Linked DNA regions of Arabidopsis thaliana. The protein of the gene in region 1 purifies or fractionates together with the protein of each later gene. This does not show direct contact. Each region holds a gene or a part of one and is shown on either strand. Other genes may lie near its edges.

The links. The genes of interacting proteins can lie anywhere in the genome.
Region 2: the proteins of HA1 (region 1) and CPK5 fractionate together in Arabidopsis thaliana (co-fractionation; one study listed by BioGRID). This does not show direct contact.

The regions. Positions count from the first base shown.
Region 1 is NC_003071.7:8,217,768-8,228,639, reverse strand, and holds HA1 (H[+]-ATPase 1), read right to left. Parts: upstream 7,127-10,872; 5' UTR 6,783-7,126; coding exon 6,741-6,782; intron 6,488-6,740; exon of another isoform or gene 5,463-6,487; coding exon 5,343-5,462; intron 5,250-5,342; coding exon 5,013-5,249; intron 4,929-5,012; coding exon 4,167-4,928; intron 4,072-4,166; coding exon 3,949-4,071; intron 3,871-3,948; coding exon 3,766-3,870; intron 3,675-3,765; coding exon 3,530-3,674; intron 3,441-3,529; coding exon 3,276-3,440; intron 3,184-3,275; coding exon 2,945-3,183; intron 2,851-2,944; coding exon 2,818-2,850; intron 2,728-2,817; coding exon 2,646-2,727; intron 2,559-2,645; coding exon 2,398-2,558; intron 2,269-2,397; coding exon 2,095-2,268; intron 2,011-2,094; coding exon 1,828-2,010; intron 1,742-1,827; coding exon 1,560-1,741; intron 1,469-1,559; coding exon 1,372-1,468; 3' UTR 1,018-1,371; downstream 1-1,017. UniProt on the Arabidopsis thaliana protein: The plasma membrane H(+) ATPase of plants and fungi generates a proton gradient that drives the active transport of nutrients by H(+)-symport. The resulting external acidification and/or internal alkinization may mediate growth responses.
Region 2 is NC_003075.7:16,798,371-16,805,495, reverse strand, and holds CPK5 (calmodulin-domain protein kinase 5), read right to left. Parts: upstream 3,892-7,125; 5' UTR 3,374-3,891; intron 3,150-3,373; 5' UTR 3,061-3,149; coding exon 2,307-3,060; intron 2,225-2,306; coding exon 2,081-2,224; intron 1,988-2,080; coding exon 1,835-1,987; intron 1,766-1,834; coding exon 1,650-1,765; intron 1,555-1,649; coding exon 1,387-1,554; intron 1,303-1,386; coding exon 1,078-1,302; intron 979-1,077; coding exon 868-978; 3' UTR 501-867; downstream 1-500. Other genes in the region: TMT2 (tonoplast monosaccharide transporter2), read left to right, coding at 6,425-6,503, 6,652-7,125. UniProt on the Arabidopsis thaliana protein: May play a role in signal transduction pathways that involve calcium as a second messenger.

The sequences.
Region 1 (10,872 bases):
ACTTTAAATTATTTTTTGTGCACATATTTTTATTTCATATTATAAATTTTCGTCTTTGCACAAAACATAACGATATAATGTTCGTCATAATTAACACAGTGGATGAATTTGTCACTGCTTTGAATTGATGTATTCATCATCACCATCAATATTATTTGGATTACACGAGCAACTTGAAAGAAGAGTATTTACTTTCAGCTTAGAGAAAGTTGAAATAATTCTTATTTTTAGAGGAATGGTGATATATATGATTTGAAGTCATCATCCATATCTTTGGACGTGACTCGCAGAGTCATTCTTTGCTTTTGGTTTTGCATAAAGTTTTATAGTAGTGCAAACAGCCAAATGATCATCTGCAATTACAAATAACAATACAATTTACATGTATTATATTATTATCGTAAATAATTTTAATATTATTTTATTATAATTTCTTAAGTTTCCCTATAGCAAATTACTACGGATTTGCAAGGATGTATATTATTATTTTGTGTCAAATCAAATTATTTAAAAGAGTTATTGCAAATCCATAGCAATACTTGCCAATGATTTACTAGACATATTTTGTGAAGGATCTATTACGAAAATCTTTCTTCCCAAAATTTACATGATATTTACGAAGTATTCGAATTTGCAAAAACCGAATTACGAGAGAATGTCTTTTCTCGTAATTATCTGGCAACTTGCAAATAACATGTTTTCTTGAGTGTCTGCCCATGAAGAAGAGCCGTAGCACTGAGAAGCCCTCTCATTGTAAATATTGTGTTGTCTTCATCTTCGCTGAAACGCTCTCTCATTGTAAATGTCTTGTTGTTGGCTTCATCTTCTTTCTATGATAGAGTCTTTTGAGATAGAGTCTTTCGGGACTGGATTATATGATAATCTTTCGAGAACAACACATCCCTCGAATGTGAGTTCGCATTGCTAGCTAATCACTCTCTTTCGCTCGAATTTACAACATTGTAAATATCTTGATTTATGAAAACCAAAACTATACGAAAACCAAGAATGTTCTTGTTTTAGAATTAAATTTAAATATTATCTTCAAGATGAAATTGATCAAACAGACAAAAGAGTGATAGAATAATCACATTAGGCCATTAAAAAGCAAAGTGCCTTGTCTCTTCAAAGGCAAAGGGCCTTGTTTCTTCAAAGGCAAATTTGCAAAGCTCATATCGAGTAGGAGTTTTAAGAACAATGACTAACAATAACAAAAAGAAAAAAGAGTTTTGGAAGAGTTATGGCAATACACAAGAGTTCTCTTCCCTCTACTGTAATGACTTTTAAAGAGAGATTTGTGAAGACAAAACAAAAGATGAGTCATGATGGGGTTGGTTTTCGGTAAATGTTTGTGTTGTTGTGCAACTCCAACTACACAGTGTAGTGATGTCCTGCTGTATCAATGTCCAATCCCTTTAGCTTTGCGACTGATTCCACATGTCCCTTCAATGTGTGAAGCTCCCTAAGCCTGTCACAACATAATATTAAATCATTCACCAATCAGAACCTCTATCAAATGGCATCTTTCCGTTGAGATTCGTTTTAATCACACTACTTACCTAGCTATCTCGGCCCTTCTCTTGGCTTGCTCTGCGATCTCAGACAGCTCTCTGTAACTTCCTTTCTCTGGGAAGATATTAACATCTTCTTTTGGCTGCAGACCGTGCAATGTCCTTTGAGCTTGTGCCCATTGAGCTTCTCTTTCTCCAATACCGTAATCTTTCTTGGTTGTGAAAGCGGTCTGTTAACATAGAAGAAGATGTGATTAGTATGTTACCATCAGCTTGTAAAAGAGGTCTCTATAGTGGTAGATAGACTTGTATGTACCCTGTTGTCAAACAAGCTGGCCCAAGCCTTTCCACTCAAGATATACCGAATGGCAAACTTCAAAATGTCCTGTGGGAAGTATGTTACGATACTGTAAATCCAAATCACACCTGCCCATCCCCAACCGATACCCTTCACCTTTGCAAATGTCCAGTCGGCATACACTGCGATCAAAGTTGCAACCTGCATTTGGAAGGAGTGAATGAATTCAGTGGGTTTCTTTAACCTAATCGAAGTTCAGAAAATATGTGTGCTTGATGTCCTTACCAGTTGTGCAATGACGAATGCAATCATCAGAAGCGCCCCAGGACGTTCGACAAATGACCAACTCCTTGACCTGGTGACAAAGATTAGAGCTTGACTGATGATACTAACTTGTAGATACACAGCACCCATTAGTTCATCGTTATTGTCCCTGATTGACCTCACACCGAACTTGTCCTGCAAATCGAAGGTGAGACAATTTTTTAAGACTCAGAGCAAAAGGCCTGGCCATATATATCTATATAGTCCCTGAAGCACCTGTACCAAAAAAAAGAGAAAAGAAATGAAAATAAACTGATGATGTACCGAGAAAAAGTCGGTCTTGTGAGCAGCCCAGAAGAAAATAACACTCATAATGGCTTGGTAGCCTCCCAGCACAATTCCAGTGGCGAAAATTTCTTTGAGCTTCCAGCTATCAGGTGTGGGAGATGGCTTGACTCTGTCCTTTGAGATTGTCATGATAGTACCTAAAAGGTAGTAACACATAATACCATAAGATATAGCTGATAACGAGTGAGGACGCTGTCTAGAAAAGTAGGATGTTATTTGCTCACCATCATTAAGGATGGCAATAATCAGAACCATGAACGCTGAGAAGTCAAATTCCCATATCAAAGCAATAAGCATGAAACCAAACTGCAAGAGTTACAACGCAATATGATCAGTATACAAAAAGTAAAATCATGCTAAACAAGTGATAGATTTGTAAAACGGGTTTCTACTTACCACAATACGGATTGTGATTGAGACTGCATAAATCTGTCACAAGCAGGAAACTAAAATTATTAGTTTCCAGCGCAAACGAACACAAGTGGTGGGCATAATATATTAGAGTGAGATTAAGAATACGCACGGTGTAGTTCTTCATTCTCTGGAAGATAGCTCTGCTAGTGAGAACGGCACTGATGATGACACTCAGCCCAGGTTCCGTGAGGACGATATCTGAAGCACCACGAGCAGCATCTGTAGCATCGGCCACAGCAATACCGATATCTGCTTTCTTCAAAGCGGGTGCATCATTAACACCATCACCGGTCATACCAACAATGTGCTTCCTCTCCTGCAGCTTTTTCACAATTTCATATTTGTGCTCTGCAATCAGTAACCATAAGAACCTTGGATCAATATAACAAAACTTTATAATGAACATGTGATGAGGTTTGAAACTGAAAGCAAGGCATAACCTGGAAAGACGCCGGCAAACCCATCAGCCTTCTCGATCAACTCCTCAACAGGGATGGATGCAATGTTCGAGTCCTTGTCGGTACCGAGAAGAGCCGCAGATGGATACATATTGGTTCCCATTCCAAGCCTGCGACCGGTTTCCTTACCAATAGCAAGTTGATCACCTGGCAACGTAGTTAGAGCGCAAGTTAGGGGAAAACATCTAAATAACCATGGATTTCATGGGAAAAAAATGATGAATAAGAATAGTTACCAGTGATCATCTTCACATTAACACCTAGATTCAACGCCCTACGAATGGTTTCGGCACTGTCGTGTCTTGGAGGGTCAAAAAGAGGCAACAAGCCAACAAATTCCCATGGTCCACCTGGGCTTTCTTTTGTTTTCTCGGGTACCACCTAAAAAGGAATATGCAATTAAACAGTTGATTTACAGGCCAAAAAAAAAACCCAAATAAGACCAATGTAAAAATTGCTTGTAAAAAAGTACCTGACGAGCTACTGCCAACGACCTAAGACCGCGCTCAGCGTACTTGTCAATACAAGAGAGTACCTTCTTCCTAAGGTCAGGCCTGGCATTGGCAAGGTCAAGGATCTGTGTGGGAGAATCGAATTAGTACACAGAATAAAGGAAAAACGCAACATCTTTAGGAGAAAGTTGAAGATTCATCACCTGCTCGGGAGCACCTTTGCTGACTCTGTGCCAGTTACCATCAGAGTCGATGTAAGTCAAAGCAGTTCTCTTATCCACAGGGTTGAATGGAAGGAAGTGAACCTCTCTGATTCCAGCTCGGGCCTATGAAAATCCAAGTGAAACATAAGAAATTAAGAACTTGTTTTCTCGACCTTTCACTAAACTAAAGAAGTAATTCAAAATGATTAGAGTTATACCTCTTTCGGATCAGCAAGCATTCCAACCATGGCTGCATCAATAGCGTCCTGGTTCTCCACCCTAGAAGCCATAGCTGCAAATAGTAGAACTTGATCTTTCTCCACACCCTTGCAGAAAACCTCAACCAAGTTTTTATCCACACTCAATTTATTAAGGGTTAGTGTCCCGGTTTTGTCACTGCAAAGGACATCCATTCCCGCCATTTCTTCAATGGCTGTCATACGTTTGGTGATAGCACCTTGCTGAGACAACCTGTGAGACCCGATAGCCATAGTCACAGACAAGACCGTGGGCATAGCAATGGGGATACCACCGATCAAGAGGACCAAGAGATTGTCAATTCCATCTCTGTACTTTCGGTGTTGGATAGGGTACATGACGACTATTTCAATCGCTATACCAATAGCAATAGAACAGATACAGAAGTTTCCAATGGATGTAAGAACTTTCTGGAAGTGCCCAACTTGGTTAGTGCTGTCCACAAGGTGAGCAGCTTTACCAAAGAAGGTGTGAACTCCAGTGGCTATAACAACCGCTTCGATTTCTCCTTGTTTACAAGTTGAACCAGAGAAAACTTCTTGACCAGGGTGCTTGGTCACAGGAAGGGACTCTCCAGTTAGAGCAGACTGATCAACCTTTAAAGGATCTCCTTCAAGAAGACGGGCATCGGCTGGGATAATGTCTCCAAGTTTAATGCTAACAATATCACCTGGGACAAGGATAGCAGCCTCTTGTTCACTCCATTTTCCATCCCTAAGAACCTGAAAACAGAGAAACAGGTTAAGCTCTCTAGAAGTCTCGAAATATCTTGTACAGTAATGTCACAGCATCCACCAACATATTACCTTGGTTTTAGGAGCAAGACCAGCCATGAGAGCAGCTGCAGCATTTCCGGCGTTGTTTTCTTCAATGAAACTGATTGTGGAGTTGATAACAAGCAGACAGATAATACCCACAAAATCTTGCCAATCCGGAGGTCGATTATCACCATTAGCCAAAGCAATGGCCATGAGAGCTGCAGCTTCCATAACCCATGAAAGCGGATTCCACATGAACCCCAGAAACTTCAGAATTTTGCTTTCCTGATATTTTTTTACGAAAGATCAACCTCGTGAGTTAAACAAAACCAAAGCTTTCAATGATGATAAAACAACAATGCTAAGTCAAACTCAAACCTTCTTCTCTTCGAGCTTGTTGGGGCCAAATATCACAATCCTGTCTTCCCCTTCCTGCGTTGTCAATCCTTCCCTTGTACATTTTAGCTGCTGGAAAACTTCCTCAATCGGAATTTTTTCCTGAGAATCAAAGCAAAAGTTTTGATCAGAACCCAAACAATAGTAACTCAAACATCAAACAAGAACAAAAGGGTAAAAAAGACAAAAACTTTTCTAGTTTTGAAATCTTTTTACAAATGTCAGAAACGATCCAACTCGGCGACTCGGAAGATGAAGAGTGGCGTTGACTCAAGTTGTGACAATGAAAGGTGAAAAGAATCTGGCAGTGGAGGATAGAGGGACCACCACCACCACCACCACTACTACTACTACTTCAATGCACGTGTTATGGAACGTGTAACACACGCGCCTGCGGGATTCCCTCCATGAAAGGTGGCTACTTTCCGGCGTGAAAGCCAAAGTCCGGTTAAGGGTATTTCGGTCATAAAACAATTTCACTAAACAAAATCAATTACAATAGAGGAATTCACAAGTTGCTTCTACTGATAGATGTTTTACAAAAGGACAAAGAAGTTCAAAAAAAAAAAAAACGTACTACGGAAAGGTACATCAAAAAAATTCGAACATCAACAACAATTTAAAAAAAAGTTGAAAACTTAAATTTATTAAAAACTCTGGTATTTTTCATGGGTGGAAGATAGAAGAATATTATGAACTGCTTTAACATCAAAAACGTTATCTTTACAAAAAAAAGATGATTTTTTTTAGAGAAAGAAAGTTATATATCACAAGCAAAATCAAACTTTTTGCGATTTTTTTCTCTTTTAATAAATATGTGAAAGAGACTTTTGTTGAGACGTAGCTTAAGCTTAGCTCCACCACTAAAAAGACTTATCTTTTTATTCAGCGTTTCACATGTGTGTAGTTTTTGGGTAGATCTACTTTTTCTGATGAACAGTATCAAAATCTACTTATTTTTGGCTTAATACCTAAAACCTTTAAAAGACATCTGTTATTTTACCCTAATTTTAGACCAAAATTAATAAAGTTGGAATCTTGATTTGGGTTTTGTATAGGATCCATGATAGAATCATCGAAAATGAGGCAGATACAATTGGGGGGAAAAATCGGTTTTTTTTTTTTTTGCGGATTTTTCGGGTTCTTGAGGAATTAAGATTCAGTTTTCGATCAAAGAAAAAAGGAGTAGAATCATCGGAAAATGATTTGAAGAAAAAAGGGTAAAAGAATCAAACGTGAAACCATGCAAGGAACAACAACGAAACAGATCTATTTCTCATTCAAGCAAATCATCGAACACTTTGTGGGCATGATGAATAAACACTAAAAATGAAATTAAAAACTCGAAGAATTTAAGCGAGAAGAGAATCGAAATAATACCAGATCAACGGTCTCGTTCTTGATATCTTCGAGACCTGACATCTTCACCCAGAAGAAATCAACAAAACGACGCCCCTCTCTGTCGTTTCACCACTCGATCACACACACACACACGAGAGAGAGAGAGAGAAAGCGAGCTTCTGTTGCAGAGGAGATATACGCCTTCTCTTTTTATAACCACTCAAAACGACGAAACTCTCCACCGTTTCAGACTTTTATTTTTCATTCATTTCGACCGTTGATTATGATTTGGTGATCATCAATGGTTGTTAATTGTTTATGGGTCCTTTCTCACTTGGAAAACGTATATTTGACTTTGGATTTTTGGTTTTATAATTAAAATTTCAGATATCATACTGTTTTTTGAAACATTGTTTACTTAAACTGGTTTTATACTCTGATCCTGTAATGTAAGAGAATCTATATTTATTTTTTTCTATTAAGAGAAACTTTTTACTTTTGAGTATCAAATTTAGTAGAAATCTTAACATTAACACAAATTTAGGATAATATACTAAACTTACATAAGAAATTTAATTCTATGGAGTTAGTATTTTTCTAGATATTTATGCATATTAGAATATGATTTAAAAGACAAAACTGTAATGTATAGATTTTAAAAAATTATACAGTATTGAATTATCATAAGAAAAATATCTAAGATAAATTTAAATTTTTGATTAATATTGTGGTTATGTATGGACAGAAAATATGCACAATCATAAGTTCTTCACTGATATCTTTTTGTGTATATAAAATTGATAATCAATAAGGAAAAATAATATACATAATAATTATATGAACATTGAATAATGCTTAAAATTTGGGTTCTTTTTTGTTCCCAAAGAGTTGTGCAAAGCTAATCTTAATGACTTCTATATAAGTTACTCATTTTGAAGGAAAAAAAAAACAAACAAAATTTAAAATACATACATGGATTTGTGAATATACATATATATATATATATATATATATAGAGAGAGAGAGAGAGAGAGAGAGAGAGTAATATAGATATAACATGTATATTTGATATATGTGTGTAGATACTAACTTTATAATTCCCTATGAGACAAATGCAAAAGTTATTTTCTAGATCAACCTAATTTGCTCATAAGTTTAATTTTCATGTTGATTGTTTAGGTCGGACTTTTAAATCAAAGTGTTTTTAAAACAATTCGTATGTAAACATTTTTCCTTCGGATTATACAACCAATCAAAAAGTTGAATTTTAATTAATTTGTAATTGGAAAATTAAAATCAACCCGTATAATACTAATTTGTTTAATAATATGTTAAATAATAGTGGCGAAGTAGAAACCGAGAAAATAAAAATTTAAATGATAATTACTAATTGAGATAAAAAAAACTAAATATTTTCTAAGTTTAGTGAAACATAAAGTTAAAATGACGATTCTAAAACACTATTTAAGAATACCGATGTTGAAAAGAGATGTTCATAAATTTATTACTGATGTTCAAATAAATTAACTTGACCTGTTTTAAAGGTGGTGAGTACACTAAATTAACTTGATTTGGTCTCTTAAGGAAATTAAAAGACAAGTGTGAAAAAAAAAAAAAAAATTAAAAGACAAGTTTCTTCCAGAAAAAGGGATGTTTTGAAATATAAAATTAGGTTTAGACACAGATTATAAAATTTAGGAGTTTGGGGGAAAATATTCAGATGACGTCGATCTAAAACTATAATAAAACACATATTAAGCTAGTAATGATATAAAACAATTTGTTATATGTGAAATTTTGGTAATCCTAATCTCATATTTATGGCTTTAAAGGATTGTAATGAAGCAATGGCTCTTCCAAGGTGCCTCATGGCAAGGTCAGCAATTGCTGGAACAATTCACATGTTTGTGGATATCATTATTTTTGTAATTTAACCAAAAATTGTTTTCAAGGTTATTTATTTATTTATTCAGCAAATTGGCTGATGAATATTGACTTTTTGATCGTGCTGGGTCCCCCAATAATACACCTCCCCTACGTAATTTTTTTTTCTTGCTTCCATAAATTCGATTGTATTTTATCTAAAAGATCGATTTCATAAGAGAATTTTAAAAACAAAGAAACAAGAAGATGATGGTTTAATTCAACTGGATATATATCGGCACATATGGGCAGGTTTTTCTCATTTATTATTTGATCATTTATGTATCTGATAGACAAAATCAATTTAACTTTCATAGGTAAATACATAAAAGTATTTATTTAAATGTGTATGCTTTTTTTTTTAGGATTTCAAAAAGTTAAATTTATTCGTCATATTCTTTGTTTTTATAACAAGGAAATATAAAACCAACATCCAAATAATCAGATCTATTTTTTGAAACATTTTTAGCTGAGTTAATTAGCAAAATATTAATGGAAAATATACAAAACAAATTACAAAAAATAATAATCATGTGATTTCTTGCCATCAATTAGTTTTCGGTAAAACTATTTCTGTGCTAAATTGTTTTGTACGTAGAATATTAGTATGATATGGCATCCTGAAATCATATAGCTTCAACTCTATTTAATAAAATCTGTTAACATTAAAATCATATAATATAAAAGTGATATATTACAGAAAAGAAAATCACCCATTTAGGTTAAATGAAAGGTTAGATCATCCAAACAAAATAGAATTTTTATATTCCATCATTCCATTATTATTAGTTCTTAGCCTAATCTTTTTTTTCTCTCGTACTTAATAGTATTCATTATTATATTAGCCTCCAAAAAAGAAAATCATTTGTTACCACGTTTTCTTAAATTTTACCAATGAATAAAACGAGTAGCTCTACGTGAATATTAAATGAAATATTTTTGAAGGTCAACTATTAAAGTACTTTTTCATTTGCTTTTAGTTAGTTATTTAAAATTATATTTTTAGCAACTATAAAAAAAATTAGCCATTTTGCAAATTAACCCTTGCTTTTGATTCTGTTTGATATATCAATTGATTATATATAAACACTTGAAAAATATTTTAGCATAGAAAAGGTCGCTAATTAAATTTTTACAGAGGTCTGTTAAAAACAATTTTGAAACTATTCAGTAAGTTATGCTCGCTAAACTGTTATCTGTAAATACTAATTTTAAGTGGTATTTTTTAGAAAACTAACGCTAGTACTACAATACCCCAAATTACTTTTGTTTCTATCACTTCTTTTTTCTATTTTCCATTTCTACCACAAACACAAGTAAAAGATTGTATATATGTTTTAATACAACCATACAGTTCAGCAGACAGAATCCAAATAGAACACCAATAATATATAATAAGTTTGTTTTGCATAAAAGTTTACTTTCATCCTCATGCGAACATATTAGAATCCAAGTGTTTATTATTTATTCATATAATTATAAGTACTAGCATAATGATAATTTTGTTAATACACTGACATCAATATAGCGAGGGCGATAAGTTTTCAACTACGCTTGTGATTAGATCATTCGTCGTAGAAATGGTCACATAATTAAAAATAAATTGACAATTGTATTTTCAATTTTATAAACATATGAAAACAACACGATTCTTCTCTTTTTTAAGACCCAGCAAGATTTCATAACTGAATCACAAATTAACAAATATGAATCAAAAATATAAACTATCTCTCTGCCACTGAACCTAATGATACTTTCGTGAAGGTTCGCGATATATCGTTATCAGGAAAAGTAATGTTATAGTCTTACTTATTCCTTTTTTTGGAAGAGGTGATGGGAAGAGTTATATTTAATCAAGTGTCGTTAGCTCAATTGATAAATACTTTAAGCGAAATTTAGAGGTCGCCGGTTTGAGTGACAACGAAACTAATATTACATGTTGTGGTTTCGGGCCTGGGGATTACGGGCTCCGGCCCAGAACCTCCTGATATTCAAAAAAAAAAAAGAAAAAAAAAAAAAGAAGTTATATTTAAGTATTGTTTATTTTACTAACGAAAAATGATTACCGATAACAATAAGCAACGTGTTTTGTTATTCATTTCTTTAACACTAACGACCAACGACCAACAAATAACCCGTTTTAATTATTGTTTGTATTAGTATGAGCCTAACTCATACATAAAAGCTAGCTCAAAAATAAAGATTTACCACATACTTATATATTGTTTTATAAATTATCAAAGTTTTG
Region 2 (7,125 bases), on another chromosome or scaffold:
AAACTTTTACTTTCAAGTCGGACTAGTTTTAAATTAAGAGAATTTGGGTACAAATGATCGTATTTTAGCTAATTAACATATAATTTTTAAATAACAAAGCTGACCAAATTGCCATACGTTACTCTTAAGAAGAGGTTATTTTACACTAATAAAATATGAAAAGTGACACCAAAATAAATATTTTTTGTTAATATGAATATGCCATGTGTATAGGAGAAGTACCAAAAAACCTGTATATGTAAAATACATTAAAAATGGTTTTGGTGCATAATGTTCCAAATTACAGATTGTGGCCAATGAATAATTTGCTTGGAACAGCTTTGAGTTTTGGTTTTATTTGAGTTTAAATACAGATTACTTAGAAAAAGCACTTTCATTTACATGATTGAGACTTGCTAGCTCATCATCTTCCACATCATAGGCCATTGGTACTATTCTCATATAAATTTATTCAATATCGAGTTGTGTAGTCCGATATGGATGAAGGGTCGTGATCGTCTAGAAAAGAAGAAATAGATTTTCAAAGTAAAAATGCTTAGAAATCACACAACATACAAAGACATTTTTGTTTTTTTCAAATACAAGTGAACAAAGTTTAACAATGGCAGATGATGAACAAAGCTCACTAACTTCAACAATGGCCATAATGAACAAACAACAAAGAGGTAAAGAAAAAACCTCCAAAACTACTTGACGATTAATCACACAGTCGTTAAACAAAACTCGAACCATCCACAGGTATGAATCCGGTTTGGTCTTCTTTCATCGCCTTCTAGGTGGTGAGCATTGAGGTTGTTGATTCCATGAATAAGAACATTTTCGCAGTCACGATCGCACTAACATATTAAACACCGGGGAAAACAACCTCTACGCGTCTCTCATGCTAATGTTTAGACTATTTCTCATCGTCCTTCTTCCAACACCAGCATTTCCCTTTTGCATCATCTCCACAAACTCACCATAATCAATCTTTCCATCCTGTTCAGACCAACATAAGAACCGATAAGACTTTTTATCAGCTGATGCCTCGACATTAGCCTAGCGAGGAATGTGGAACAGATCATCATATAAGCTTACATTGTTTTGATCAACTTCTTTGATGATGTCTTCAAGGAAAACATCAGCCATGCCATGTTCAACACACGCTTGTTGTAGCTCATCAATTGTTATGAAACCGCTTCCATCTTTGTCAAAATATTGAAACGCTGCAACAAGATGCTCTTCCCGCTCTAGTTTGTTGAGATGGATCGTCGCTGCAATGAACTCACTGTAATCTATTGTCCCACTGTTGTCTACATCAGCCTGGTCAATAAAAGAGCTGAGTGTAAGAATACATAACAATACTTCATTGTCAATGTACTTAACCAAATAAGGTTAGATTTTTACCGCATCCATAAGATCATGGATCTCTGTGTCTTTCAAGGTAGATCCATATTTTCTCAGCCCAGCTTTGAGTTCATCAAATGTGATTGCCCCGCTGTTATCAGTATCCATTGCTTGAAACATTTCTCTTAAACCAGCTATCTCTTCTTCCGAGAGACTCTCAGCTATAACCTGATGAGCCCAAAACAAAGAGTAAAACAAACAGTTTCATGAGAAGTGATGCAGAGACCAAAGAAGATAAAGGGTTTACGCACAAAATCACTCACCTTCAAAGCCATCTTCTTTAGTTTATTCATTGCAGAGAATTGCTTGAGACGAGAAAGAACAGCTGGATCTAGTGCTCTATCTGGTGCAACACCATTCTCACAGATCCATGGATGACCTGAAAAAAGGATATTAGTCTAATGCTGTTTGGTTGTCACTATAAGTAATCATTTATGTGAATACGTACGCAAGACTTCATGAGCGGTCAAACGTTCTGCAGGCTTGGAGGATAACATTCTGCGGATCAAGTCTTTAGCACTGTCGGATATCACAGGCCACGGGTCTGACTCAAAGTCGATATATCCTTTCAACACAGCATCAAATATCCCTTGCTGTGTTTCTGATTCCAAAAACGACAATACAAAACACATTTCAGGTGACTTAGACTTTCTACATGACTAAGAAACAGGCTAACATGGAAAATGACAAATACCTGCCCAGAAAGGTGGGACTCCGCTTAGCAATATATACAATATAACACCAGCAGTCCACACATCAGCTTCAGGCCCATAACGTTTGAGCAAAACCTCAGGAGCAACATAATATGGACTTCCAACAACATCAGTGAATATTTGACCTGAAAGTCACATTCTGTTTCATAAGATTCTTTTACCAGCCTAGTTAAGCAAAACATTAACTAAAAGCTTCAAACACTTTACCTGGTTTGAAAAAGACAGATAGCCCAAAATCAATAGCCTTGAGAGAGAAATCATCATCCTTATTAACCAATAAGAAATTCTCAGGCTTCAAGTCTCTATGCATCACACCAAGCGAATGACACGCTTCAACAACACCGACAATGATCTTAGTCAGCTCAGCAGCTTTCCTCTCACTATAATGTCCTCTCTGAATAATCCTATCAAACAATTCACCTCCAGCACAAAGCTCCATAACAATGTGAACATACAAAGAGTCCTCATAAGCTCCTTTAATCGTCACGATACTACCGTGACCAGCTAAATGATGCATTATCTGAATCTCCCTTCTAACATCCTCAACATCTTCTTTAGAGATCAACTTCCTCTTGGATATTGACTTACAAGCGTAGTCAACGCCTGAGGCAATCTCTGTACATAGATAAGTCGTTCCAAATTGACCTTGACCTAGCTTGCGGCTAAGGGTATAGATATCACGAATGTTTGGTGTCTTATGACCAAGAACATAGTAAGCTTGATTGTCTGGGTTACGCCTCATGATTGGTTCTCTTAAAGGAATAACAAGAGCTGGATCTTTGCTGTTGTTGTTGCTGTTGTTGTCTTTGGAGAATTCTTGAGCAATGATGTCTGCAGCGTTCGGTGAATGGTCGGAATTAGAAGACAAGTTGGTGGTAGAGGTTTTAGAGTAATCTTCAGGCTTATTGTTATCGCCTTCGTCGAGTTTGTCCTTGAAAGATCCACGGCAAGAATTGCCCATGAAACAATGGGAATTACCAAATCCTGGTTATAAAGACAGCAACTTTCACTTTGTGTTCTTCATCAAAGGAACTGTTCATAGAGATAACACTGTCAAAAGTCAAAAGACTTAAATTAGACCAAATACAAGAAGCTAAACGAGAACAAAGTAACGAACTTTAACAATACCACAAGTAAAGAAAGACGCAAAACCCACATCAGATCAAAGAGTCAAAATAACCAAAAAAAAGACAAAGAGCTAAGAAGTTTCGATGGATCTTTTAAAGGAATAACAAAACAGAGAATGAAGTAAAGCAAAAAGAGGATCTAGTTACCAGTTGTTGAACTCAGAAGGGCGAAAGAGAAGACTGAAAGAATGGGATTAGGAAGGAATCTGACTTAAAAGGAGAAACTAAATTTAGGGGAGACAAAAGAGAAAAGTCGAACAACAAAGGAAAGCTACAATATTTTATGTTTATTTATTTCAGAGATTGAAGTAAGAATAAAAATAGATTTTTTAAGAGCTTTGGTTTGGTCGGATAGATTAGATTCGTTGGATGAGAATGTGATGGTGTTTTATTTTACGGCGGCGATTGAGCGAAGAAAGGTCTTTTATTAGTGCTCACCAGCTACTACTTCTACACCTCTCTGACTCTGTCTCTCTCCGCTGTTTCCTCTCACCTTCTTTCTTCTGCTTTTGCATTATTAAATTTAAACCAGTTTCTCTTTTGTTTATCGTTTAAATTGTAATTGAAAAAAAAAACTAAAATTAGAATGTTGGTTTGTACAAAATCAAAATGCATTTCTGGTTTTACTAGTTACCGTTAATTGTAAAAAAATTTAAGTATTAAGCACGATGGTTTTATTCTCGTCGTATGAGAAGACTAATTTAAATACATGTGATCTACTTGTAAAAGAAGCAACCGTTCATTCAATCTCCTATCAGAAAGAATAGTAATCTCTTGAGATTTTTTCTTAAGATAAAGATATGCCAAATATTTAAACAGTATTATGGCGTCACTGACTATTATGACGTAAGAGATTGACTTTTCCATATATTGCAACTTTCTGGAGCCCCGCACATAATCCCTAATAAGTTTTACTTTTGGGCCTTGTTTATTCACTGATCCAGCCCAATGTTCAAATACAAAATTCAGACACCCCAAAGGCCGTATTATTGTATTGTTTTAGACTTTAGACCTTACAATAAGGCCTAAAATGATAACATATTACACATTTCAATTCCAGATAAAAAAAAGAACCGAAAATTTTAATTATAAACGCTATCAAATTGACATTTTCACAAGACTGAATCAAATTTGACACCTCCACGTACACAAGCAAAATTATATTTTGGGTTTTGTATCAATGTGCTGGCTGATTTTTTTTAGCAAAACTGTCCTGTAACATCTCTCCAACTTGGTTTGAATTCGTTTTAACATTAGTTTGGTGACAAACATAACGTTATTGAATTTTTCATTTTTCCGTAATAATCATTCTGATTTTTTTCTTTTCAAAATGTTGTTACTAGATGTTTCTTTCCCAAGAATAATATCTTAAATCAGTAATCACTACTACCAGTAAACATAAATGGTACGTTTCTCCTCATTCTACGGAATTTTTAAGAAGCAATGATGATGATTAATTGAGGATGTGGACAAGAATCTTTATATATTCGCATTCACATGCCATAACTTTCAAAGTCTATGAAAAAAGATTCTATTGCGTGTTTATATTCTGTGGTGTGTACTGTAGTTCCAAACATAACGCTTGTACTACGTTCATTTCCGGAAAATATCTAAGAAATATGGAGTCATAAATATTTATTAACCAATTAGATGTTTTTCCTATGTTCTAAATACATTTATGGTAATCTTTGCGGTCAAATATACGAACTTTAACAACGACGTTTAACAATATATCTTTTGTTTTATACATATCAAGTTTTGATATACGGACGATAGATATTTATTTTCAGAAAACCAGTAGTTGTCGTAGTCACATGGTTTGTTTTTCGTTGATCAAAATTTGTTAATGTTATTCATTTAGAATTAGAGACTGTATATCGAATTTGGTACTCGGTTCTAAAAAAAAAAAAAACTCAATATGATTTTTTATACATTCTTTTTCTTCCCTTTTAATCTGTAAGAAGAATAGTAAAGTGAAGAAGAAAAAACTATTCATTATATTGTAACATACGAATACGACTCACAATTAACTAAAGTTAAAGTGTCTCATTGTATTTGGACTTTGGACATTATTCTCCATTATTGCATTGTTTCTTTCTTTCTTGATTAATTATGTAAAGTTGAAATGATTTGAAGATGCTTTCCGGATGTAAACAAACTAAACTTTACTTTACCAATAACTTTGTTTTCAGAAAACTCAGATATTTATCTCTAGTTTCTCGTATAAGTCCCAATGAATCTAAGATTTCAAAAACCAATCCTATATTTGTTTCATATTTACAAAAAAACACCAAATATTTTTCCCCAATTATGCCGACATTAAACTCATCTTTTTACATACAAAATCCCAAATTAATATCCGTTTTTACCTTTACTTCATGAAAGCGAAGATGGTAAAAAGCAGAAACATTTCGAGATATTAATTTGATTGTATAGGCCCGTGAATAAACTCGTGGACCCAAATCGAAAAGATAACAAAATTTAAAGATGTACTTAATTCTCTGAAAAAATTCTGTACGCAAACACGAGAAAGAGAAGAGAGACATACACACACAATACACATACGTGGTTTGAGAGGACAGGAGCAAAACGGCAGGTGTCACTAATCCCATAGGCTTCTCTCTCTGTTCACTGTCCTTCCGCACAAAAAAAAAAAGTATTCATTTTTATATTCTCACGGTTACTTCGAAATCTAGCTTTCGTTTTCTTTTTTTTTGATTTAAACCAAAAGGGTAAACAATGCTTTATGATTGCTTAGTGACGCCATTGAAGCAGCGGCTCACTGATAGTGGCTTCTTCTGCCTCCAATTCCAAGTTGCTAACCCTAGTTTTCATCTCTCTCTCTGTATATCATATTCTCTCGTACTTTCTTACTTTCTCTTCTACTTGGTAGAGATAAAAAGTAGTCAAATTTTATTCAAAGTTTTGATTTTGACATCTGAGGTTTCACCTCTGTTTTTTTTTTCTAGAACTCCTTTGGGTATGTGTCTTTTACGTCACTAAAGGGTTTGTTATAGTCTTAGGTCATGCTTTTTGGTGTTATCTCTCTCTGTTTTATCTTTTAGCTCACCAAGTGATTGTGTCTGATTTTCGAATTTTCAGGTGGATTTTGTTTCACTCACTCATCGTCGTTGATCAGTGACTCTGTTTTTGCGAAATTCTCTTCAGATTTCTTGATAAAAGATAGAAGACGGAATTATGAGTGGAGCTGTGCTTGTTGCTATTGCTGCTGCTGTTGGCAACTTGTTACAAGGATGGGATAACGCAACTATTGCAGGTGATTGATTATCTTCTGTATCCATAATTCTGTTTATGAAATTTAGGATCGATAAAGTCAGGATTTTTATGGATACAATTCACAGATCTTTTAGCTTATCTCTTTTGCTTGTGTGATGGATTTTAAGTTTTCTTTGGGTACTCTGCAGGAGCTGTGTTGTACATAAAAAAGGAGTTTAATTTGGAGAGTAATCCATCAGTGGAAGGTCTAATTGTGGCGATGTCACTTATTGGTGCTACTCTGATTACAACATGCTCTGGAGGGGTAGCTGATTGGCTTGGTCGCCGTCCCATGCTAATATTGTCCTCAATTCTCTACTTTGTTGGTTCTCTAGTAATGCTATGGTCTCCGAATGTTTATGTGTTGCTCTTAGGAAGGTTGTTAGATGGATTTGGGGTTGGTCTTGTGGTCACACTTGTTCCTATTTATATATCTGAGACTGCACCACCTGAGATTAGGGGACTGTTGAATACGCTACCGCAGTTCACTGGCTCTGGAGGGATGTTCTTATCTTACTGTATGGTTTTCGGAATGTCGTTGATGCCATCACCTAGCTGGAGATTGATGCTTGGTGTCCTTTTCATCCCTTCCCTTGTCTTTTTCTTCCTCACGGTCTTCTTCT